3 linked regions of the Macaca fascicularis genome follow. The protein of the gene in region 2 binds, or shares a complex with, the protein of the main gene of each other region. Links are inferred from orthologs where the notes say so. Each region holds a gene or a part of one and is shown on either strand. Other genes may lie near its edges. The genes, in order: RNF113A, SRRM2 and SNRPD3.

Region 1 (6,724 bases), on a different chromosome or scaffold from region 2:
GTCTTGTTGCAGGAATAGGCAGACCTAGAGTACAGAAAAGCACATCTGTGAAACAGGCCCATGTGTATATGGAAATTTAGTATACCAGAGTGGTATTACAAATAAAAATGAACTGGGTGTTTGGTGGGGGTTTTTTTTTTTTTTGAAACAGGCTCTCATTCTCTCACCCAGGCTGGAGTGCAGTGGTACGATCCTACCACACTGCAGCCTCGAACCCCTGGGCTCAGGCTATCCTCCTGCCTCAGCCTTCTGAGTAGCTAGGACTACTAAATTGTTCTATAAATGGGTAATTGCGATAACTAGCTACCTCTTGAAAAAAAGTAAAGTTAATCCTCCCTTCACATTATACTCCAAAATGACCTGTAGATGGGACCAAATAACTAATTTTTTTTAAAGAAACAATATTAGGAGAAATTATTTTTTAAAACTAATTTTATGAGCCAGGTATAGTGGCACACCTGTAGTCCCAGCTCCTCTGAAGGCTGAGGCAAGATCACTTGAGCCTATGAGTTTGAGGCCAGCCAGGGCAACACAGCAAGACTGTCTCTATTTTATTTTTTGAACGTATTTTTATAACCTTAGGTAGAAAAGGCCTTTGTATGGGAGACATAAAAACTCAGAATGCAGAGCAACAAAACATGATAAATTGAATATCAAAATTTAAAACTACCTGATGAAAAACATCATAAAGTGAAAAAGACAAACAGCAGACTGGGAAAAATGTTTGTCATATATAAAATAGACAAAAAATTAAAAGTCTAGAATATATAAAGAACTATAGATTGAAAAGAAAAAAGACAAAACAATAGAACAGGCAAAGGATATAGGCAACAATCCACAGAATAAGAAATATATGACAGTAAGAAAAACTAAAAAAAATAAGAAACATAAAAGATTAAATATGTAAAAAGATGCCAACCTCACTAGTAGACAAGAAAATGCTAGTTATATATTAGCATTGTATGACCCTTGGCAAGGCATTACCAGAACCCACCTCAACCCTGGCAGAAGGCTGGCATCAGAGTGGCTTCTTACCTTTGACACATAGTGACGATTAACTCCAGAGATGCGCCTATCTCTTTCCATCAGATTCCAGTGATACCCAAAATGAGCAATCCTTTTTTCCTTCAAATAAGAGACAATTATTGTTGCAGTTTATAAAAGTGAGTGACCCAGTTGATGGATATTACAATTTTTAGAAGGGACATTCTAGAGAAATGGAATCATCATTCAAATAAAAATGCAAATTAGTAGTACAAGAACAGAATCTCCTAAATAAAATCAGACCACTACACTTTAGGATTAAGTTGGTGACCGTGACTTCTTACACTATTTTAACCAACATGAATTTTTTTTCCTTTTTAAAAAAAAGAAAAAAAAAAGAAATATCTAGTTGTTGCCTTTTGGGACACTAAGAAACAACAGCTGTAGATCACACGTGGACAATCACAAATTCAAAAAGTAAGTAAATTTATACTCTGTACTCTAGAGATGATGTGAAGGGCTAAGAGGGGAAAATGAATCCTGATGTAAAACACAAGACCTTGCAGTAAATTCCTAAACGCTTGCAAGAGAAAGTGGGGAATAAAAAAGTCAAGGGTGGCCGGGAGCGGCGGCTCACGCCTGTAATCCCAGCACTTTGGGAGGTCAAGGCGGGTGGATCACCTGAGGTCAGAAGTTCGAGACCAGCCTCGCCAACATGATGAAACCCCCGTCTCTACCAAAATAAATAAATAAATAGCCGGGCGTGGTCCCGGCTACTCAGGAGGGTGAGGCAGGAAAAATTTTTTTTTTTTTTTTTGAGACGGAGTTTCGCCCTTGTTGCCCAGGCTGGAGTGCAGTGTCGCGATCTCGGCTCACTGCAACCTCCGCCTCCTGGGTTCAAGCGATTCTCCTGCCTCAGCCTCCCGAGTAGCTGGGATTACAGGCATGCGCCACCACGCCCCACTAATTTTGTATTTTTAGTAGAGATGGGGTTTCCCCATGTTGGTCAGGCTGGTATCGAACTCCCGACCTCAGGTGATCCGCCCGCCTCGGTCTCCCAAAGTGCTGGGATTACAGGCGTGAGCCACCGCGCTCAGCCAGGAGAATCTCTTGAACCCGGAAGGCGGAGGTTGCAGTGAGGGATTCTCAGGCTTGAGCCACCTCTTCTAATCTACCTTTCCGGCCCCCGCGTCGCTACTCTGCCCTAAGGCCCACTTTGATACACCCAGAAACGCTGTTTTTCACCAGAGCAGGATGTGGTTTCTACCGCGCTTCGTTTCGCAAGCCTCGGCTTCTAGGCAACCGGAAGAAAGTAGAGGGCCGGCCTCGGAGAGAGGGTCCGCAGGCTGACGGCCTCTCTGCCCACCATCCTTTTCAGAAATCAGCCAGTGGAGTCAGCCCCCGGGCCCAGGAAGCCGCCTTACCTTGCCCCCGTTAGTGAACCTCTGGATGTACGCAGTAGCCAGTCCTGGAATAAGCAAGCACACGCCCATGGCGGCGAGTCCGGGGAGAATCTCGAACCACATCTCTGCCCCGTTATCTAGGCCAAAACCCTACTTCTGGGTCCTTGAAAGGTGACCGGGCTTCGGCTCCCTTCCCAGTAAGCCCCGCGGCCGCCCGCGAGCGGGGCGGTGCCACGTACGGCTCCGGAGGAAGCGACGGGATCTGCCAGGGCTCAAGAGAGGCTGGCGCTCGCGCTCTCGCAGTTCTCTTCCGTCAGTGTCTTTTGCTTCGACTCCCGGCGGAGCGCGCGACGTGGAGTAACGCGCAGAGGCCAAGTGCAACCCAGGCAGCGACGGCCGTTTCGGAGCTCGGGACTCTAAAATGGCAGAGCAGTTTTCTCCAGGGAAGACGGCGGATCAGGTGTGCACCTTCCTTTTCAAAAAGCCTGGGCGGAAAGGGGCTGCTGGACGCAGAAAGCGCCCGGCCTGCGACCCAGAGCCCGGAGACAGCGGCAGCAGTAGCGACGAAGGCTGCACTGTGGTTCGACCGGAAAAGAAGCGGGCGACTCACAATCCAATGATACAGAAGACTCGTGACAGTGGTAAACAGAAGGCAGCTTACGGCGACTTGAGCAGCGAGGAGGAGGAGGAAAATGAGCCCGAGAGTCTCGGCGTGGTTTATAAATCCACCCGCTCGGCGAAACCCGTGGGACCAGAGGATATGGGGGCGACAGCTGTCTATGAGCTGGACACAGAGAAAGAGCGCGATGCACAAGCCATCTTTGAGCGCAGCCAGAAGATCCAGGAGGAGCTGAGGGGCAAGGAGGATGACAAGATCTATCGGGGAATCAACAATTATCAGAAATACATGAAGCCCAAGGATACGTCTATGGGCAATGCCTCTTCCGGGATGGTGAGGAAGGGCCCCATCCGAGCGCCCGAGCATCTACGTGCCACCGTGCGCTGGGATTACCAGCCCGACATCTGTAAGGACTACAAAGAGACTGGCTTCTGCGGCTTCGGAGACAGCTGCAAATTCCTCCATGACCGTTCAGATTACAAGCATGGGTGGCAGATCGAACGTGAGCTTGATGAGGGTCGCTATGGTGTCTATGAGGATGAAAACTATGAAGTGGGAAGCGATGATGAGGAAATACCATTCAAGTGTTTCATCTGTCGCCAGAGCTTCCAAAACCCAGTTGTCACCAAGTGCAGGCATTATTTCTGCGAGAGCTGTGCACTGCAGCATTTCCGCACCACCCCGCGCTGTTATGTCTGTGACCAGCAGACCAATGGCGTCTTCAATCCAGCGAAAGAATTGATTGCTAAACTAGAGAAGCATCGAGCTACAGGAGAGGGTGGTGGTGCTTCCGACTTGCCAGAAGACCCCGATGAGGATCCAATTCCCGTTACTTAGCTGTCTGATAATTCTTAAATTTAAATAATAAATATTTTGTTCTTTTGGAAGTCTTAATTCGTGTCCTTCCTTTGTAGAGACAGTGACAGAGAAGGCGGGTGGTGAAGTAGGGTCCTGGATTAAAAACCTCAAGGTAGGTATAATCAGGATTTTTAGCCCTAGGATAACCATTTTGCCTGTGTTTCTTTTCAGAACACTTTGGCATCAATTATAGGGGTGGGAGTAGTTTGAGAAAAGAGCTATAATTTGCTTGAAGTAGCCAAAGCTATGACGAAAGTAAGAACTCTGAGCCTGTTTATCATATCACATTTCTGTATCACTTAATAGTTTACAAAGTACTTTCATGCATTCTTTCTCTTGGGAGCCTGTACTACAAAATATACCGGAGCCAAGGTGTTGGGGAGAGGGGTTGCGTTTGGGGAATTGGTAGCTAGTACCACAGGCTTCACATATGGGAAATGTTCCTTGCTGTCTGGGTTATTTATTTATTTATTTATTTATGAGACGGAGTCTCGCTCTGTTGTCCAGGCTGGAGTGCAATGGCGCGATCTCAGCTCACTGCAACCTCCGCCTCCCGGGTTCAAGCGATTCCCCTGCCTCAGCCTCCCGCGTAGCTGAGACTACAGGCGCTTGCCACCACGCCCAGCTAACTTTTTGTATTTTTAGTAGAGACGGGGTTTCACCATATTAGCCAGGATGGTCTTCATCGCCTGAACTCGTGATCCGCCCACCTCGGCATCCGCCCACCTAGGCCTCCCAAAGTGCTGGGATCACAGGCGTGAGCCACCGCACCCGGCTCCCTTGCTGTCTTGGAAGCAGCTATAGTTAACCCCCTCTTCCATGGATGATAAAAGTATCTGTGCTCAGCTATCCAAGTGTGATAGACACTAGCCTCATGTGACTGTTGAGTACTTGAAATGTGGCTGACCACTGTATTGGACATTGCTATTGTAGACTGAACTTGTGAACCTGCAAAGGGCAAAAACATAGTATTTTATCATCCATTACCTGAAACTATCTGTGTTCTCACAGTCTCTGTAATAGTGTTGATCACACCTTATTAAAATTAGTGGATGTACCTGTCTTTCCAACTGGTTTATGAACTCGGTGACTAGCCTAGTGCTTGGCATATAATAAGCACTTAATAAATAAGCCTGGAGAGGTTTAAAAAGGGAGATTGGGGCCAAAGCCTTGAATCCAAGCTGAGGAGCACTGACTGTATTCTGTAGGCAGTGGGGGAGATAGCAGAGGTTTGGGAAGAGAACACAATCAGACGGGGTTTTTTGTTTGTTTTAGTGTTACTGTGGTTGCGGCTATAGGATGGATCACAAGGGAGATGGAAGACAAGAGGCAGGGAGGCCAGTTAGGCCAAATGATTAGTAAATTTTTATTGATATGGCTAGAATTTGGGCTAATCCCAAGAAACAGATGCAAGAATAAATTCTGGGTTAGTGGTTTTTATTCACATTCATTAATCCGTTTAAAGACATCCTTTTTTTTTTTTTTTTTTTTTAAGACAGAGTCTTGCTCTGTCATCCAGGCTGGAGTGCAGTGGTGCAATCTCGGCTCATTGCAACCTCTGCCTCCCAGGTTCAAGCGATTCTCCTGCCTCAGCCTCCTGAGTAGCTGGGACTATAGAAGTGCATCACCACACCCAGATAATTTTTGTATTTTTAGTAGAGACAGGGTTTCACCATATTGGTCAGGCTGGTCTTGAACTCCTGACCTCGTGATCCGCCCGCCTCGGCCTCCCAAAGTGCTGGGATTACATGCATGAGCCACCGCACCCAGCTTAAAGATATTATTTGAGTAGCTACTCTATCAGGCACTGTGCTTGGCATGGGGGATATTAGCAGTGAACAAGACAGACACAGCCCCTGCCCTCATGGAGCTGGACATTCAATAATGACTTTGTTTGTTTTTGAGACAGTCTCGCTGTGCCACCCAGGCTGGAGTGCAGTGGCATGATCTCAGCTCACTGTAACCTCCGCCTCCCAGGTTCAAGCAATTCTGCCTCAGCCTCCCGAGCTGATCTCGAACTCCTGACCTCATGTGATCCGCCTGCCTGGGCCTCCCAAAGTGCTGGGATTACAGGGGTGAGCCACCGCACCCTGCCTGTTTTGTTTCTTTTAATTTCAAATAGAATCTCCCTATGTTGCCCAAGCCCATCTCAAACTCCTGGCTTCAAGCAATCCTCCCACCTCAGCTTCCCAGCATGCTGGGATTACAGGTGTGAGCCACCATACCTGGCCTAGGAAAGCATTTTGAAAAGTGTCATGTCCTACACAAAACTTCAGATGAAAATGAAATAAATGAAGTGTCGTGGAGGCAAGGCACAGTGGCTCACACCTGTAATCCCAGCACATTTAAAAGCTGAGATGGGAGGATCACTTGAGGCCAGGAGTTGGAGACCAGCCTGAGCAACATAGGGAAACCCCCGTCTCTATAAAAAAAAAAAGCAAAAATTTTAGCTAGGTGTGGTGATGTGCACCTATAGTCCCAGCTACTCAGGAGGCTGACGTGGGAGGATCCCTCGAGCCCAGATCAAGGCTGCAGTGAGCCATGATTGCACTACTACACTCCAACCTGGGTGACAGGAGTGAGACCCTGTCTCAAAAAAAAGAAAAGAAAAAAGAAATATGGCAGTGAGTAGCAAAAGAACCAGAAAAATTGTTCTTTTTTTTTTTTTTTTTTTACTATTTCTGATAATTTATACTAAAAAAAGTTATTCAGGGTTGGACACAGTGGCTCATGCCTGTAATCCCAGGGCTTCATGAGGCCAAGATTAGAGGATCACTTGAGCTCAGGAGTTTGACAATAGCCTGGGCAACATAGCGAGACTCCCATCTCTAAAAAATAAAAATAGTTATTCAAAAGTAGA
Region 2 (7,676 bases):
TCCATGCACACACAGAAGTTTTCACTCGCTGTCACCCAAAAGTTCCTTCTCTTCAGTCTAATCTTTTCCCATTATCTTTCTTCCCTCTACCTACTACTCCCGCTAGAACAGTGGATTTTAAATATGCTACACTTCAGGGGCCAAAAGAAAAAAATTAAGCAAGCAGGGTTTCAAGTGCTCCTCCCCAACTTCAACAAGAACGTGCCTTTTATTTCCTGGGATTCCAAAGTGAGGGATACTGTATAAAAGGGTCACCACTGCTGAAGTTTAAAACCACTGCTCTAAAAGTTTTCTGCCTTAATGTGCTCCTTTTCCAAAATTTCCCTTCCCAGCCCATGATTCCCTCTTCAAATGTTCTTCTAATTCCTCTTTTCCTGCCCATGCTACTTTCCAAGGTCTCAATCCTTATATCCATTCTTCTTCTTTTCTACCAATGACAACACCTATCAGCTTACCTAGCTCCTCTATCTGGTCTCTGCTTTCCCATCTCTCCCCTGAAACACATTTTTGTTCCTCAACGGCCCCTCCCTTCTCCCATGTGCCTCCATTTAATCCCTCAGGCTCCCATCTATGCCTCAGACACACAGCCTTCTCATTTCCCACTCTGCACTGTCCCTTAACTGTTTTCAATTCTCTAGAGCTCATTTGCCTCCTCCCCTACCACAACTCCTTGCCAGGACTCTTTCAACCACCCTAAGCTCCCTACATCCCACCTAACACCCCCAGCTCTGCACTCATTCAGTGCTTGACTCTCCCCCAGCTCTCCCTCACCCCTGCTCTTCCATCATCTCCTCCAGCTCGAGGCATCGCAGCTCGACGCGCCGCTTGCGCTCGTGGTCCAGGATGTCAGGATTAGGCCGCTTCACCAGGGCAGCCTCCAGGCGCCGCAGTTCCTCCTCTCCCTTGTAGTCAGGCCGCTCACCCCGGCGGCCCCGCACCAGGGACAGGTTGCGCTGGACGTAGCCGTTGGTGCCGCTGCCCCGGGGCGTCGGCAGCCCGATCCCGTTGTACATGGCCCCGTGCCCGGGGGGGGGCACCACCGCTCCTGAGGGGGAGCGGGGAGACACGGGTCAGGCCCCTGGCCCCAAACTAACCACTTACCACCCCACACCCAAGTCCCTGCTCTCCTTCATCCCTATTTCAACATTTATCTTCACACTAAGTCTTCACTATATAACGCTCCACCATCCTCCTGGTCTGCCAAAAAAACCACTTCTTCGTCCTTCCAAATTTCCTACCAAATCACAGCCCAGTTCTTACAACCTTTCTCTCAATGCCCTTGCACAGAATTCTAAATAATCCCTCCCTGCACCTAGATTTTCTTCTTTTTCCACCCTAGGCAAACAAGGATCTTGTTCCTCTAAAATCTCTCCACACTGTCCCTTTTCATTTTCCTTTGGCCCCAAAATGCACAAGGAGCATCTTACCAACTACTCTACTTTCTAACCTCTAGTAACCAACCAAGGCACAACAAATACCAGACATAGATCTGTGGCACCCAAGGGCCTCTAGTCCATGTCCAAAGACTCTCCCAAAAACTGACCTACGGATTTCAGACCACCCTATATGAATACGAAATAAACTACACAGTCCCTAGGTATCTGAACAGCAGACTACTTGGTTCAGAATGTGCAGCCTCACACCCCAACTAAAGGTCAGCACGCACATCAGAAACACACATGAACCTTGGATAATCTTCATACACTTCACCTCCCAGGTAAGGGCCATTTCCTTGATTCCAAATATTTAAAGATCCTATCAACCATCCTGATCTTTTATTCCTCCAATTCCTCCAATTTCTTTCCTCTCAATAGGATTTACTACAATTTGCAGTTCCTCCAAGTCTTGCCAGCTGTCAAATATTATCTGCTTTCAACTCTGCTCTATTTAAACACATCAAATCAGTCTCTGTTCCAACCGTTCCCATACCTTCTCCATATTCCTTGCTCTAAATCTATCTAGAAACCCTCTCTACACCCCACTTTCATTAATCTCCAACTGTTGGCCTTCCCCACCAATCCCCTGGATAGCACTTCCTAGTTTTTTTTCTCCCAGCCCTGCCGCTTCCTTCTTTCCTGTGTTAACCCCATGCCTCGTCCCAAGTTCTAGCCTTTCAACTAGTCCCAACCCTGATGTGACTCTGAAAAATTCTCAAGTCCCAGCTTTTCTAGTGAGATTCCTTGGCTACACATACTCTCTTTCTCATCCTCATCCTCTCCAAGATAGTTTCCTAGAACATACACGTATGAGGAAAAACTACCCAGAAAAAACCCTATGGAATAGACAAAGTGGAGAGAGTGATCAAAGACGTAAAAGAACTGGATAAAAGGGAAGGATGCATTTAGAAAATTCCAGAATGAAGAAGCATCATACAAATGTTTGGAAAAATATACTAGTGCATGCACGCACACAGAGTATATAGAAGGGTGCTAGCCCATACCTCCTCACCCTAGACTAAGGATGGGTCCCTACCCAATCCCAGTAGCAGACCCAATATCGAAAGTAGAAGGTGACAGAGGAAACTAAACCTGGAAAAGGCAAGCAAAAATCCAGGAAAAAATGAAAAACATTATGACTCAAAAAATCAATTTCTCTACACCCCAATCCTCATTTTCATCTTCTAGTTCCAATCCTCCCCACAGTTTAAAACTAGGTCCTTCTTTGCCTCTCCCTACCCCACCAAATTTCTGCTTCCCTTGCAGGCATGTCTTTGACCTGCAATTAATTCTTCAGCTCAACCATTCACCCACACTTCCATACCACCTCACACAAAAATCCTCCCACTCCCTAAGAAGGGAAAACCGAAGGGAAACCCAGGCCGAGTAAGGTGGCTCACGCCTGTAATGCCAGCACTTTGGGAGGCCGAGGTGGGCAGATTACCAAGTCAGGAGATTGACACTAGCCTGGCCAACATGGTGAAACCCAGTCTCTATTAAAAATACAAAAATTAGCTGGGGGGCGGCGCGTGCCTGTAATCCCAGCCACTCCGTAGGCTGTAGGCTGAGGCAGAAGAATCGCTTGAACCCGGGAGGCGGAGGGTTGCAGTGAGCTGAGATCGCGCCACTGCACTCCAGACTGGCAACAGAGCTAGACTCCGTCTCAAAAAAAAAAAAAAAAAGAAAAAAAAAAGAAAAAAAAGGAAAACCAGTAGGTGCTAAGCAAAGGATATTAGGTCACAATGTTTCGGAGAACTTTTAGGGAATGAGCCACCCCTACCTCACAAAAAAAGACGACGACCCCACAGCATCTAAGGGGGTGCTAAGACACGGAAAGTAGGAACATCGACACCACACACAAATCACCAAACCAAACGATTTTATAAAACTCTTAAAGTGGGGGCCATAGACAGCGGATATGCAAAAGTTAACCAAGGTAAAAGCAGAAAATAAAAGGTACAAAGAAAGACAAAAAGACCCTTTTCTGTTGGGAAACTATCAGAGTGCCAAGCTAACAAGGAAGTAGAAAGATATCCTTAAATTCAACATTAAAATATGCAAAAAAGGAAACGGTACCAAAAGGGGACACAAGGGTTGTCCAAGAAAATGGACCTCAGGAAGCACAGCCAGCTCAGCACCGGGGCGCTCCAGCGCGGCTGAGTGGACACAAAGAACCCAGAAAACTAAAATAGTAGCTTTAGAAGAGCCCTAAGCCCACGCACTTAGGATGAAAGGCAACAAAACATTCTGAAATTTTGATCCAGATTCGTCCTAACTGAAGGCGAGTGGAAACCAAGCTTCAGAAGAGCTGTGTGCCAAATAACGCCTGAAACCAACCAGAAAACTTATATACGAGTCTGGCGTTTTCTTCCCAACGAAGGTCTCCAGAAGCCTCCTTAGTTTTAACACGAATTCTCGGGAAATGTTAAAAAAGTGTAAGAAAAAAAGGAACAGTCTACCTTACAAATGTAAACTGAATGCCTTCACTTTCTTCACAATTTTTAAGATCTGGGGTTTCTCCCCGCCACTAACAACTCAAAGGCTTGATAGCACAGTCCAAACCATTTAAACCGGGCCCACGGAGTTCAAGGCCCTCCTCGCAGCGCCGGGGGCCTATTTTCGGCCTTGCAGAATGGGGGAGGGGGCTGCGCGGCGTCCCGCAGTCTGGGAGGCCCCTGGCACGGGCAGCCCAACGCTGAAGAGAAGCCCGAGAACAAGAGATCGAGAGCCTGGGGCAAGGGTCCGGGAGCACGTCCCCCGCCGCCGCCCCTTCCCCGTCACTTAAGGGCCGAAAGCGGCAGCTGCGGGAAGGCCCCTCGGCCGCACGTGTGGTGGGGAGGAGTGAAGCCGAGGCGGCGCGCTCCCCCCTCGCCAAGGGCGCTCGCGAACCCCAGTACAGGCGGCTGCGAGCGCCGTTGTCATGGGGGAGGGACGGGGGGGTCGAAGCCCGCGCGCGACAGGAACGGCGGGAAGGGGGAAGGGAGGCGAAGGTGTCCGCGCCAGCGAAGGGCGGCGAGCGCGCGTGCGCGCGGAAGAGCTCGGCGGCCTGGGCCGTTCTCCGCGCGCTTTGGCCTCGCGCCGAGGCCGCCGCCCCTCCCCCACCCGGCTCGCTGGCTCCCTCACCCTCTCACCCGCCGCCTCCGCCCGCCGCCTCCGAGGGGGAGAGGTCTTGCCGCCGCCGCTGCGCGAGCTCCCGAGTCCCTCGGGGCCTGAGGCCGCCGCCTCGCCTCGCCGGTCCGCCCGCCTCAGCCGACGCCGACGCCTCCTGGCTTCCTCAGGGGCCGCAGCGGGCTCCGACTGCGCCACTCGTACCCCGCCTGGGCCGCGATGCACGTCAGCACGACTAACTCCGTGCGTCAGCACGCAAACGCGCGTCGCGGGGCTTGCCGGGAACTGGAGTGCGTCCCGCAGCCTTTTGCGCAGGCGCCGAAACCACAACGGGAAGTATCGTTTCTTCAGGCACAAGGCAGGTTTCACCCTGTTGCCAAAAGACTAAGCGTCCCGTTGGCCAGTGCAACGAAGAATGGAGGAATCGACCTAACACGCCGCGTATTCGGAGGCCTTCCGCTGCAGGGAGGAGCCACAGGGCCTAGCGCCACCTAAGCGGGGCCCGAGCGCGTCTCGCCTCCCGCCGTCGAGGCAGAGCATTCTGGGAGTTGTGGTTCGTACGTGTCGCGGAGCCCGGATGTAATTTCGGCTCTGGGCGCGGCGGCCATTTTGTCTCCCCATGTTGGGAGTCGATAGCCTAGGCACAGTGGTGCTGCCGCTTTTGTGTAAGTGTGGGTTTCCCGAGCGAGCCCGCGGCTGCACAGCAGTCGGCCTTCTCGTACCCGAGAGAAGCCGCCTCAGACCCCAGCCAGCGGGCACCCCCGGAGCCCCCGAGCCTGGCTGCAGGCCCTAGACTTGTGCCAGGGGCCCAACCAGCTGCCTGTGGCATGGGCCACGCTCTCCCGATGTAGACTGGACTGAGGCCCGACGGCTGCCCCTGGGGGTGGAGTTCGCTTCGCTTCCGGTAGGGCAGCCAGGCCAGGGTCCCACCGGACCCGGGACGTCATACCCGTGGAGCGGCACATGCAGGAACAAGTCAGGAGAAAAATAATAAGCACCTTAAAGTTTTCCACTTTTCGGTACCGTACTTCCTGTTAATGTTTCTAAACTCGTGATTCTGGACCTGATAATCAGCCCCCGTCCCTCACAGCAGAGTTGTAAGACGCTGGGCTGCTCGGGCACAAGGTCATATCTAGCCCCACCGCTGGCGAGCAGCCCAAGACGTGGGCTTAGCTGTCCTAACCAACTCAGGTGGCCTTGATCCGCAACAGGACTCGGTGCCACGTAATGAACTGTCCGTTTGAGTGCAAAGATTTATATTTGATACTACGATTTGGGCGTGATTTTAAGAGGCAGGGTCTTGCCCAGGCTGTTCTCGAATTTGGAGCTCAAGCGATCCTCCGACCTCAGCCTCCCAAGTAGCTGGGACTAGCCGTGCACAACACCCTATCTGGCAATTGTTTTTTTGTTTCTTTTTTTTTGACGTGGTTTTACTCTTGTCACCCAGGCAGGAGTGCAACGGCGTGATCTCGGCTAAATGCAACCTTTGTCTCCCCGGTTCAAGTGATTCTCCTGCCTCAGTCTCCCGAGTAGCTGGGAATTCAGGCGTGTGACACCACGCCCGGCTAATTTTTGTAAATTTTAGTAAAGACGGGGTTTCACTATATTGGCCAGGCTTGTCTCAGTTTCCTGACCTCAGGTGATCTGCTCTCCTCAGCCTCCCAAAGTGCTGATATTACAGGCGTGAGCCACCACGCCCGGCCCACATCCGGCTTTAACTTTTGTTTTTCACTTGCCCGTGGGAGGATCTACTCATCTCAGATGCTGGAGCCGGGAGACCCTCCCCCCTCCACCCCCAACTCCTGCAGGAGCTCTGATCGCTGGTTTGAGTGCTTGAACTCTGCATCTGTGGACGGTGCTTCTGTAAGCCGGGCGCACCTTGGGAGTGGCATAGCAAAGTGGCAAAGGCTTTGCCTTACTGGTTAAAGACCCCAGTACCTCCAATGAGACCCTTTCCTGTACCCCCACTGATACCTTTATGAACTGTTTCGTGCGTGCATCAGCACATTTAATGCCCGTGAATAGTGACAAAACATGGTTTGCAGTATCCTAATGGCTGATGATGCTGAGAATCTTTTCATGTGCTTGTTGGCCATTTGTGCATCTTTGAAGAAATTTCTCTTCGTGTCTTTTCTCTATTTTTTTTTTTTTTGGGGGGGACAGAGTCTCACTCCTAACCCGGGCTGGAGTGCAGTGGCACGATCTCCACGCACTACAATTCTTGTGCCTCAGCCTCCCAATTAGCTGGGATTACAGGTGCACTCCACCGCCCAGCTAATTTTTGTATTTTTGATAGAGGTGGGTGTAGTTTTTTGTAGAGATTGTGTCTCCCTGTGTTGCTCAGGCTGGTCTCGAACTCCTGGTCTCAAACTATCCTCCTGCCTTACCCTCCCAAAGTGCTGGGGTTACAGGTGTGAGCCATGGCACCCAGCCCTAGAATGATTTTTTAATTTCCCTTTAAATTTTATTTGTATTATTCATTGTAGTGCAGTGGATGGTGGTGCCCCAAAACTTCACAACCACCTAGATACTCAGAAGGTGACCTTATTTGGAATAAGGGATTTTGCAAATATAGTTGAGTTAAAGATCTGAAGATGAAATCATCATGAATTTAGGGTAGGTCCTAAATCCAATGAGTGACATTCTTACAAGAAGACAAGAGAACACAGGCACCCGGGGAAAGAGGCCGTAGGAGACCCAGGCAGAGATTGGAGCGGTGCCCATGCCAGGGATCTCCAGGAGGAGCCAGAAGCTGGAAGAGGCCCTGCAGATCCTCTCCCAGAGCTTTCAGAGGGGGCACAGCCCTGTCCACACCTTGGTCTCCGCCTTCTGGCCCCCAGAGCTGTGGGGGAACACACTTTTTTGGTTTGAAGCCACCAAGTTCGTGGTGACTTGTTATGGCAGCCCTAGGAAAGTGACATGCACAGGTAAACTACGTTCACTGCAGAAAACACACAGATCAGCAAAAAGAAAAAAAGCGCACAGGGGCACCACCCCCAGAGACAGCCATCGTTGACATCCTAGTGGCTGTCACCTCGGAGTAATGTTCCTGAAATGCAAACTTCTGAACCGCTTAAAACTCTTCCAGACACCTTCAGGTTGACATCACAACTCCTTCGTCGGATCTTCCAG
Region 3 (7,676 bases), on a different chromosome or scaffold from region 2:
ACCTTGATCTCAGACTTCCAGCCTTCAGATCTAGGAGAAAACAAATTTGTGTTGTCTAAGCTGCCCAATCTGTGAAACTTTGTTATTGGCAGCACTAGCATACAAATACAAGCAGGGAGGCAGGTGGCTGCCCCCCCACCATTGGTCAGGCATGTGACATGCATCTACTCATTTCTTCCGCACTATGGTTCCTTCTGAAGCCAAGGAGCTATTTTTATCCCTGACTTAGAAGAGGGACCAGAGGACGAAGGAGGTCCAAAGCTCACCCCAAGTCACCCTAGGTGGCAGGCTGCAAGCTGATTCCAGGTCTGTCTGACTCCAAGTTCTGTGCACTTTGTGTCACGTGGACTGCATCTCTGAATGGCCACCGAGGTTATCTGGTTAGACACCTTCATGTTATGGATGGGATGACAAAGGCCCTGGAAACCCAGCAGGTTGTCCAAATACATATAGCTAGATGACAAACCCATTAAGATTCACTAACCCAAGTCCTGCATTCTCCTTACCAAATTAAAGTACCTTAAAGTGGATGAGCATGCCTTAAGCCAGAGGTCTGGATATATGAAAGAGAGATGATAAACCTATCTACTGTCAATAGATAAACTGATCTATTGACAATGATGCAATAAACCTGAGTCACCAGAGGTCTACTTCTCTGCATCCAGGGAACTGACCAAGCTTGTCAACCTCGCAGGAAGATGATAGACGCTCAAAGCTACAGAAAAATCACAAATAAATGAATGGCGCAAACCAATAGATGGTCAGGATACCTGACCGTGGTGTAAGACGCTTTACCTCTCTGACCTTCTCATCTGGAAAAAAGCAGTAAACACCATACGTTGAACACTTACAGTATGTGAGGCACCGAGCAGCTATTGCACACATATAGCTCATCTGATCTTTGTAAAAGTCCTGGGGGTGTGGATATTATCCCTGTGGCAGTCTTAAGGGTGTGCTGCTCAGATCTCCCTCCAAAAGAAAACAGGCTATGAGGAGTGAAGGCAGCCGACAATCTCCATCTTTGCAGTCCACCATGGCATTCAACTTGGGGAGAGAGGCTGTCTCCCCAGGCTGCCAGCCAATGGAATGAACACACCAGGGGTGCCAGTCTGCCCATTTCTGCCCCATGTTAGACTCTTCTAATGAGCAATCACTGCCTTGCTGAGACTTCCTCAAAACTACACTGTAGTCTAAGGTTCTTCCTGCTCAATCCTCCTTCTTTCCCCTCTCGTTTCACCAGTCAGACCAGCATCACGGACTGAAAATTTCCCTGCCTACTACTGTTTCCTTGTTCCTTTATCCTTTATTGTCATTTCCCCCAATAAATACCTTGCATAATTCTGTCTTGGCATCTACATCAAAGAACCCAAAATAATAACACTCCCGTTTTACAGATGAGAAAACTGAGTGATTAATACATCTAAGGTCATATAATTAGGAATCAAACCCACATCTCTCTCTGACTCCCAAGTCCAAGTTCTTAACCAATGGTTTAAAGAACAAAGAAAGTGTGAAGATACAACTGAAAAACAATGCTATAAAAATTCAGATGACTATGCAAAAGGCAAAGCTGCGCCATGAGAAGGACACCGTATCAAGAAACTACTCCATTATTTACTATCAGAGTGATGAGTCCTTTAATCTCATTCTCCCTATTTTATGGATGACAAGACTACCACCAAACCTGCTTACCTCACAAGGTAGTTGCAATAATCAAATGAGACTCCTCCTCCAAGAGAAAAGGGAAACAAACACAGTATGTGAGAAGATTCTCCTAACTGCAAAGCAAGTGGAGGCAAATGGATAATGGCTCTGAACCTGAAGGATTCTACTGAAGGAACTTCTCCCAAACAGGTCCCCAAATTTGGGGATGGAAAAAACAAAAAAGGCGAAGTAAAATATTCCAAATCTCCAAATGGCTTTTCTGCCTCAAGACTATGTGTTTTGTTCATGCCCACATCCCCAGAGCCTATAACAGCACCTGACTGGTATGTGTTAGGCACTCAGGAAATCATTGCTGAATGAGAACAATTTACAGAAGACCCCCAACCCACACCTTTCTGTCCTTCAAGACACAGGGCCATTCCTCCCACACAGCCTCACATGCAAAGCAGAATACCTGGCAGTTCATGTTGTCCTCTGCTTCAATGAGCTTCCCCCGATATACCTCACCGGTGTTCGTCTCACATGTCACAATGTGGCCCTCGGCCTCGTGCAGCACTTTAATTGGCACACCAATAGACATCTTGGCAGGAAGAGAGCTCTACAGTGAAAGAGACAACAGTCAGTTCATCTTTCAGAGTCTGAGAAGGCATGCGGCACACGTCATGCCTCCTTCAAGGCCTGGCACTCCATAAAACTTAGCAAAAACGCCAAAGCTGCATTTTCTATCAAAGAAAAAGAAAAAAGAAAGCTCAGCTCCTGGCTTGGAGGAAACTATCTGGCAAATATGTGCAAGATGTCGGGTGAGGAGGAATGGTGGGGTGGACAGAAGTAAAAATAGGAATGAAAAGAGAGCATCTCCCATCGACCATGTGTCCCTGCTACCCTATGTCCCTTAATCTTCAGCTAAAGGACCATTAGCGAATACTGTGTGTGTAGGGGAGGGGGATTGGAATGTTAATCTGTTGCACTGTTATTTGTCAACCCTTAATTGTAGATTATTATATTTTGAGAATCATAACACAGGCCTGAGCTGTCCAATACAGTAGCTCATGTCCACATGTAGCTATTTAAATTAAACTTAACTAAAACACAATAGAATTAAAATAAAAAACCCAGTCCCTCAATCCCAGTGGCCATATTCCAAGTGCTCAACAGCTACATGTAGCTGGTGGCTACCCTACGGAAGGAGCAGATACAGACCTAAGGACCATGCATATCTAGGAGAGGAGACTGTACTTTTAATGCAGCTCTTTAACCCTTCCCTTACTTTACCATCAAGGATATTGAGAAAATATCGAAGTGACAACGTGCTATATGCAGGAAATGCCCGTCATGGAGGAAAATAAGGGAAAGCACCTGACTTGACCTAATTAAAAGCATCAAGTAGTGAACTTTTTATTGACATGAGCGACGACTCAAAGTTGGAACCTAAGTGCACCTAAGACAGGAGAACATGAGGTTGAAAAGACAGGCTCCTTTGGTGAGGATCCCTGGCTTTCAGCCTTAGGAGCCTAGATTTTATGCTGAAGATAGTGGGGAACCACTGCAAAATTATAGGTAAAGAATGACACAATGAAAAGGTAGCAGCATTTATTTACAAAATGGATCTAACGTAAGGTTTAGAAGCAGAGAAACTTGTTAAAATTTCTGCAACAGTTAAAACTGCTGCAACAGTGTGGAAAGCATGACGGGACCACTGCCTGAAAGGGAGCTGGGGGCAGACATGCAAAGAACTTTTTAAAAAATGACCGGCTGGGCGCGATGGCTCACGCCCGTAGTCCCAACACTTTTGAAGGACGAAGCCGGTGGATCCCTTGAGCCCAGGAGTTCGAGACCAGCCAGGGTAACATGGTGAAACCGTCTCTACTTTAAAAAAAAAAAAAAAAAAAACCCTCATAGGATTTGACTTCAAGATTCAAAAAACTCATAGGAAATAACTTCAAGATTACTGCCTGGAAACTTTGAAAAACACTCACCTGGAGAGATACAGAATGTAAGAAGCATGCACATTGAGGGAGCAGCTAATGAACTTACTTCCAGGCGCTAGTGAGGCGACGCTGATGTTTGGGTGGTCCAAACTTCCCGCTTTCTTCCCTCCCCGAATCCCGCAGAGTTCATGCATTGAGTCTTTCTCCAGCCCCCGGCCCCTCACAGGCACCTCGACCTCCCCTCGCCCGTCCCCAGCCTCACCGGTTCTGGCCTACTTTTCCTTCTCTTCGGTGCACGGCGAAAGCCGCTACGGCGAAGGCGTGAATCAAGAGAATGGCGGGCCCAGCTCCCAGAATTCCACTCGTTCCCAAAATGCTGCGCGCAGGGCCCGCCTCCTTCCTTTCCCCAGTGGTGAGAGCGGTGTCGCCTCCGCTTCCTCCTCACCCCGCGTGCCGGCTGGGAAACTAAGGCACCAGTACGATAGTTCCGGCACCGGAAAAGAGGGCCGAAGACTGGGCCCGGGGACCGCCGCAAACAACGACCCTTGGGGCCGGCAAAGAGCCAGAGAGGGTGCTTGCACTTCCAAGCGCCCCACACCAAGGACAGGCTGGACGGCAAGGCGGAGACTCGGGGCCTGGGCCCTCAGACCGGGGGCAGCAGGAGGTTGGGCCAAGGGCCAGGACTTCCCCTCACAATTTAATTTTTTGATCCCAGCACCGCCAGGTAAGGGGCGCCCTGAGTGAGGCTACGTATCTCGTACGGATAAAGTTAGGTATAGAGTAGAGAGGAGGCCGGCTCAGGGTCATCCCTAAAGGCAGTTTAAGGAGAGTTGTTTGGAGCCTCCGGAATACACTGGGCCGGACCAGGGTTTACAGCTAAGACTGGCAAAGGAGCGGGCCCCGGCAGAGGCGGGGCTTGCTGAAGGGAGGAGCCTCTGTTCACGAAATGCACGGGCTTTGGGGCGGGGCTCAAGGAAAGGGGCGGAGCTTCCGGGTCCGCGTCTTGTTGGGCTTCGCGGCTGCGCGAGGATTGGACGAGAGGGCTGGGTCACTCGACGCTGAGGCGGTGAATGGCCGGGGCAGATTTAAATCGGGAGGCTGGGGGCCTCTAGGATCAAAGTTTGGGGCGGGGCTTAGAGAAAGGGCGGGGCCTCCAGATTCGAGACCTGGAAGGGCTGGGGCGGGGCTTGGGGCGGCCCAGCCACCGCCTCCGGTTCTCCCCTCCGCAGCGGCGGCGGTGGCGGAGAAGGAACTCGACACGCACCGACCGCCCTACCGCCCCAGCCGAAGCGGAAGCTGTAGCCCGCTCTGGGCCGGGGCCATGGGCGCCCCGCGCCGCCCGGGTCATGAGGACGGAGGCGGAGGCAGCGGGGCCGCCGCTCGAGCCCGGTCAGTGCCTCTCTGTGGGCCCAGTCTTCACCCTAGGAACGAAGGGGACCCCGCCCTAGCGCGGGGCAGGGTCCAGCCGCGCGACCTTGGGCCGACTCCCGCCTCACCCCCACACCCGCCTCGCTCCAGTCAGTGGGGGTTTCCTGACACTGGCAGGATTGCGACCCTTGTCCGCATGGTGGGAGGGTCCGGGTAGAAGGGGCGCCACCTTCCCCAGAAGCGAAAAGTCCTACTGGAGCCGCCTTGGGAGCTCTCGTGCCTTGGGGAACCGTGGAGGACTGAGGCTGGGAAGGGCAGGAAACTGGCCGAGAGCACCGAGTAATGAAAGGGCCGGTGCTCTGGCCTCCCAGAGTCGGCGTTTTGTCTTGCTCCTGTTCTTCCCCCTCTGGTTCCCTCTGCCACGCGGTAGCCTGAGCCCCTTTGGGGCGGAGACTCGGACTGGTTTTCAGTGTCTTGGCAGTTAGTTTGCTTGCCCAAGAGGTAGGGGAGGGGGAAGACGTGATTCCTGTCCTGCTGAAGGCGCAGGGTTGGTGAGGAACGGAGTGCTAGCTAGTAAACTCTCAAGTGAAGTGCCAACTGTGGGAGAGGTCAACAACATGTGGGACCCTGACCTTCAGGTGTCACTCCCAGGGAGTGTTCTCTTTTGTGTTTGCTGTGTGGAGTGGGGGGGGATTTACATCCCTCCTCCTCCAGTTGTCTAGCCCTGTGATCTGAGACAAGATACTTGCCTTTCCTGAGCCTCAGAGGAGGAAAGGCTTACATTCACAGGGACCTTTCTATGAGGCAGGCAGGCGCTGTGCGCAGTTGTTTACATGCAGTGCCTCATTAATCCTGATAACGACCCAGTGAAGTAGGTGCCCACTGTGATTTGCACTTTTTCAGCTGACCAGACTGAGTCTGAGATGGGTTAAGTATTCAAGGCTAGCACACTACCTGCCTTCCTTAGTGACAACCACTAACTGAGGTCAGACCAGGGCCTTCCAGGCAGCCCCTTGGCTCCAGGCAGCAACATCTGGCTGTGACTTTGTGTTCAGAAGGCTAAAGCTGTTACGGGGACAAATGCCAAGGCCTCGCCTAACATTATCTCCCCCAACATGAGCATCTCTAGGTCCCATCTGCCCTTGCCAAGACTGGAGATGGCCCTATGGGGCCTGCCAGGCCTCAGGATCAAGGAGTTCTCGATTGCAGGGCAAGAGGAGGAGGGGCAGCTGAGTCTCTGAGAGAGAGCTGCTGTCCTGTGCCACATTTTACAGCTGGACACGGAAAGGCATGGACAGAGTCACAGCCTGGCAGAAGATAGCTCAGCTAGTCAGTGTCACAGCTCAAGCCACAGAGTAAGGAGGGAACCTCACACAGAAGGCTGTAGTCTGGACGCCTGGGGGAAGAGGGGTGCAGAGCAGTGAAGTGGCAAGTAGGCCTGGGCATCTCAAGGTATGAGGTCTTTTTGGAAAATGCCTTCCATTCCCCAAGCATATCTAAGTGCCTGCTCTGGGCTGAGGGCTGGAAGGAGGCAAATGCAACCTCGTCTCCATCTGCCACTGAAGAATTCTCATTTTGTGCGATAGAGGAAAGCAGAGCTCTCCCACTGCTCAGCATTTTATGAGTCCCTAGGAGTTAGGGCTTAGGTGGGTTTTTAGTCACCTTTGTGTCCCCAGAGCCTAGCAAACAGTGAGTGCTTAGTAAGTTCATTTCTTCTGACCTGGCACAGTAGTAGCTCACCCCTGTAATCCCAGGACTTTGAGAGGCCAAGGCAGGAGGATTGCTTGAGCCCAGGAGTTTGAGACCAACCTGGGCAGCATAATGGGACCCCATCTCTACAAAAAAAATTTAAAAATTATCTGGGTGTGGTAGTGTGTGCCCATAGTTCCAGCTACTCAGGTGGCTGAGGTCAGAGGATCCCTTGAGCCTGGGAGTTCAGGGCTGCAGTGAGCTCTGGTCACACCACTGCACTCCAGCCTGCGCGACAGAGTGAGACCCTGTTTCAAGTTCTTTTTTTTTTTTTTTTTTTTTTTTTAATGAGATGGAGTCTCGCTGTTGCCCAGGCTGGAGTGCAGTGGCGTAATCTTGGCTCACTGCAACCTCCACCTCCCGGGTTCAAGCACTTCTCCTGCCTCAGCCTCCCAAGTAGCTAGGATAACAGGCTCTGGCCATCACACCCGGCTAATGTTTGTATTTTTAGTAGAGACGGGGTTTCACTATGTTGGCCAGGCTGGTCTCAAACTTCTGACCTCAAGTGATCTGCCTGCCTTGGCCTCCCAACGTTCTGGGATTACAGGTGTGAGCCACCGTGCCTGGCCTAAAAAAGTTTATTTCTTCCAGCAAATATTTATTGAGTTACTACTAAACATCCAACACCAGTGACTGAGAATAACAGGGAACAAGATTGGCAGGTTTCCTGCTGTCTCAGTTCATTTGTGCTTCTATAACAAAATAGTCAGGACTGGGTAATTTAGAAACGATAGAAATTTCTTTTTTTCTTTTTTGGAGATGGAGGTCTCACTATTTTGCTCAAACTGGTCTCAAACTCCTTGTCTCTTGTCTTGGCCTCGTGAGTAGTTGGGATTACAGGTGTATGCCACTGTGCCCAGCTCTAGAAATTTAATTCTTCACGGTTCTGGAGACTCCGAGGTCCAAGATGAAGGCGCTGGCAGGTTCTGTGTCTAGTAAAGGCCTGTTCCTTGTAGATGGTGACAC

The links.
Region 1: SRRM2 (region 2) and RNF113A share a complex: the UniProt entries of both Homo sapiens proteins name them as parts of the minor spliceosome. The link is inferred for Macaca fascicularis from reciprocal best matches to the Homo sapiens genes SRRM2 and RNF113A.
Region 3: SRRM2 (region 2) and SNRPD3 share a complex: the UniProt entries of both Homo sapiens proteins name them as parts of the minor spliceosome. The link is inferred for Macaca fascicularis from reciprocal best matches to the Homo sapiens genes SRRM2 and SNRPD3.

What each region holds. Positions count from the first base shown.
Region 1 is NC_088395.1:126,230,660-126,237,383, reverse strand, and holds RNF113A (E3 ubiquitin-protein ligase RNF113A), read left to right. Parts: upstream 1-2,702; 5' UTR 2,703-2,808; coding exon 2,809-3,843; 3' UTR 3,844-3,900; downstream 3,901-6,724. Other genes in the region: NDUFA1 (NADH dehydrogenase [ubiquinone] 1 alpha subcomplex subunit 1), read right to left, coding at 1,036-1,125, 2,409-2,510. UniProt on the Homo sapiens protein: Required for pre-mRNA splicing as component of the spliceosome. As a component of the minor spliceosome, involved in the splicing of U12-type introns in pre-mRNAs. E3 ubiquitin-protein ligase that catalyzes the transfer of ubiquitin onto target proteins.
Region 2 is NC_088394.1:3,614,474-3,622,149, forward strand, and holds the start of SRRM2 (serine/arginine repetitive matrix protein 2), read right to left. Parts: upstream 4,778-7,676; 5' UTR 4,568-4,777; exon of another isoform or gene 4,560-4,567; intron 1,046-4,559; 5' UTR 1,014-1,045; coding exon 772-1,013; intron 1-771. UniProt on the Homo sapiens protein: Required for pre-mRNA splicing as component of the spliceosome. As a component of the minor spliceosome, involved in the splicing of U12-type introns in pre-mRNAs.
Region 3 is NC_088384.1:28,878,585-28,886,260, forward strand, and holds the start of SNRPD3 (small nuclear ribonucleoprotein Sm D3), read right to left. Parts: upstream 3,945-7,676; 5' UTR 3,856-3,944; intron 2,264-3,855; 5' UTR 2,246-2,263; coding exon 2,120-2,245; intron 1-2,119. Other genes in the region: protein GUCD1, read left to right, coding at 4,940-4,982. UniProt on the Homo sapiens protein: Plays a role in pre-mRNA splicing as a core component of the spliceosomal U1, U2, U4 and U5 small nuclear ribonucleoproteins (snRNPs), the building blocks of the spliceosome.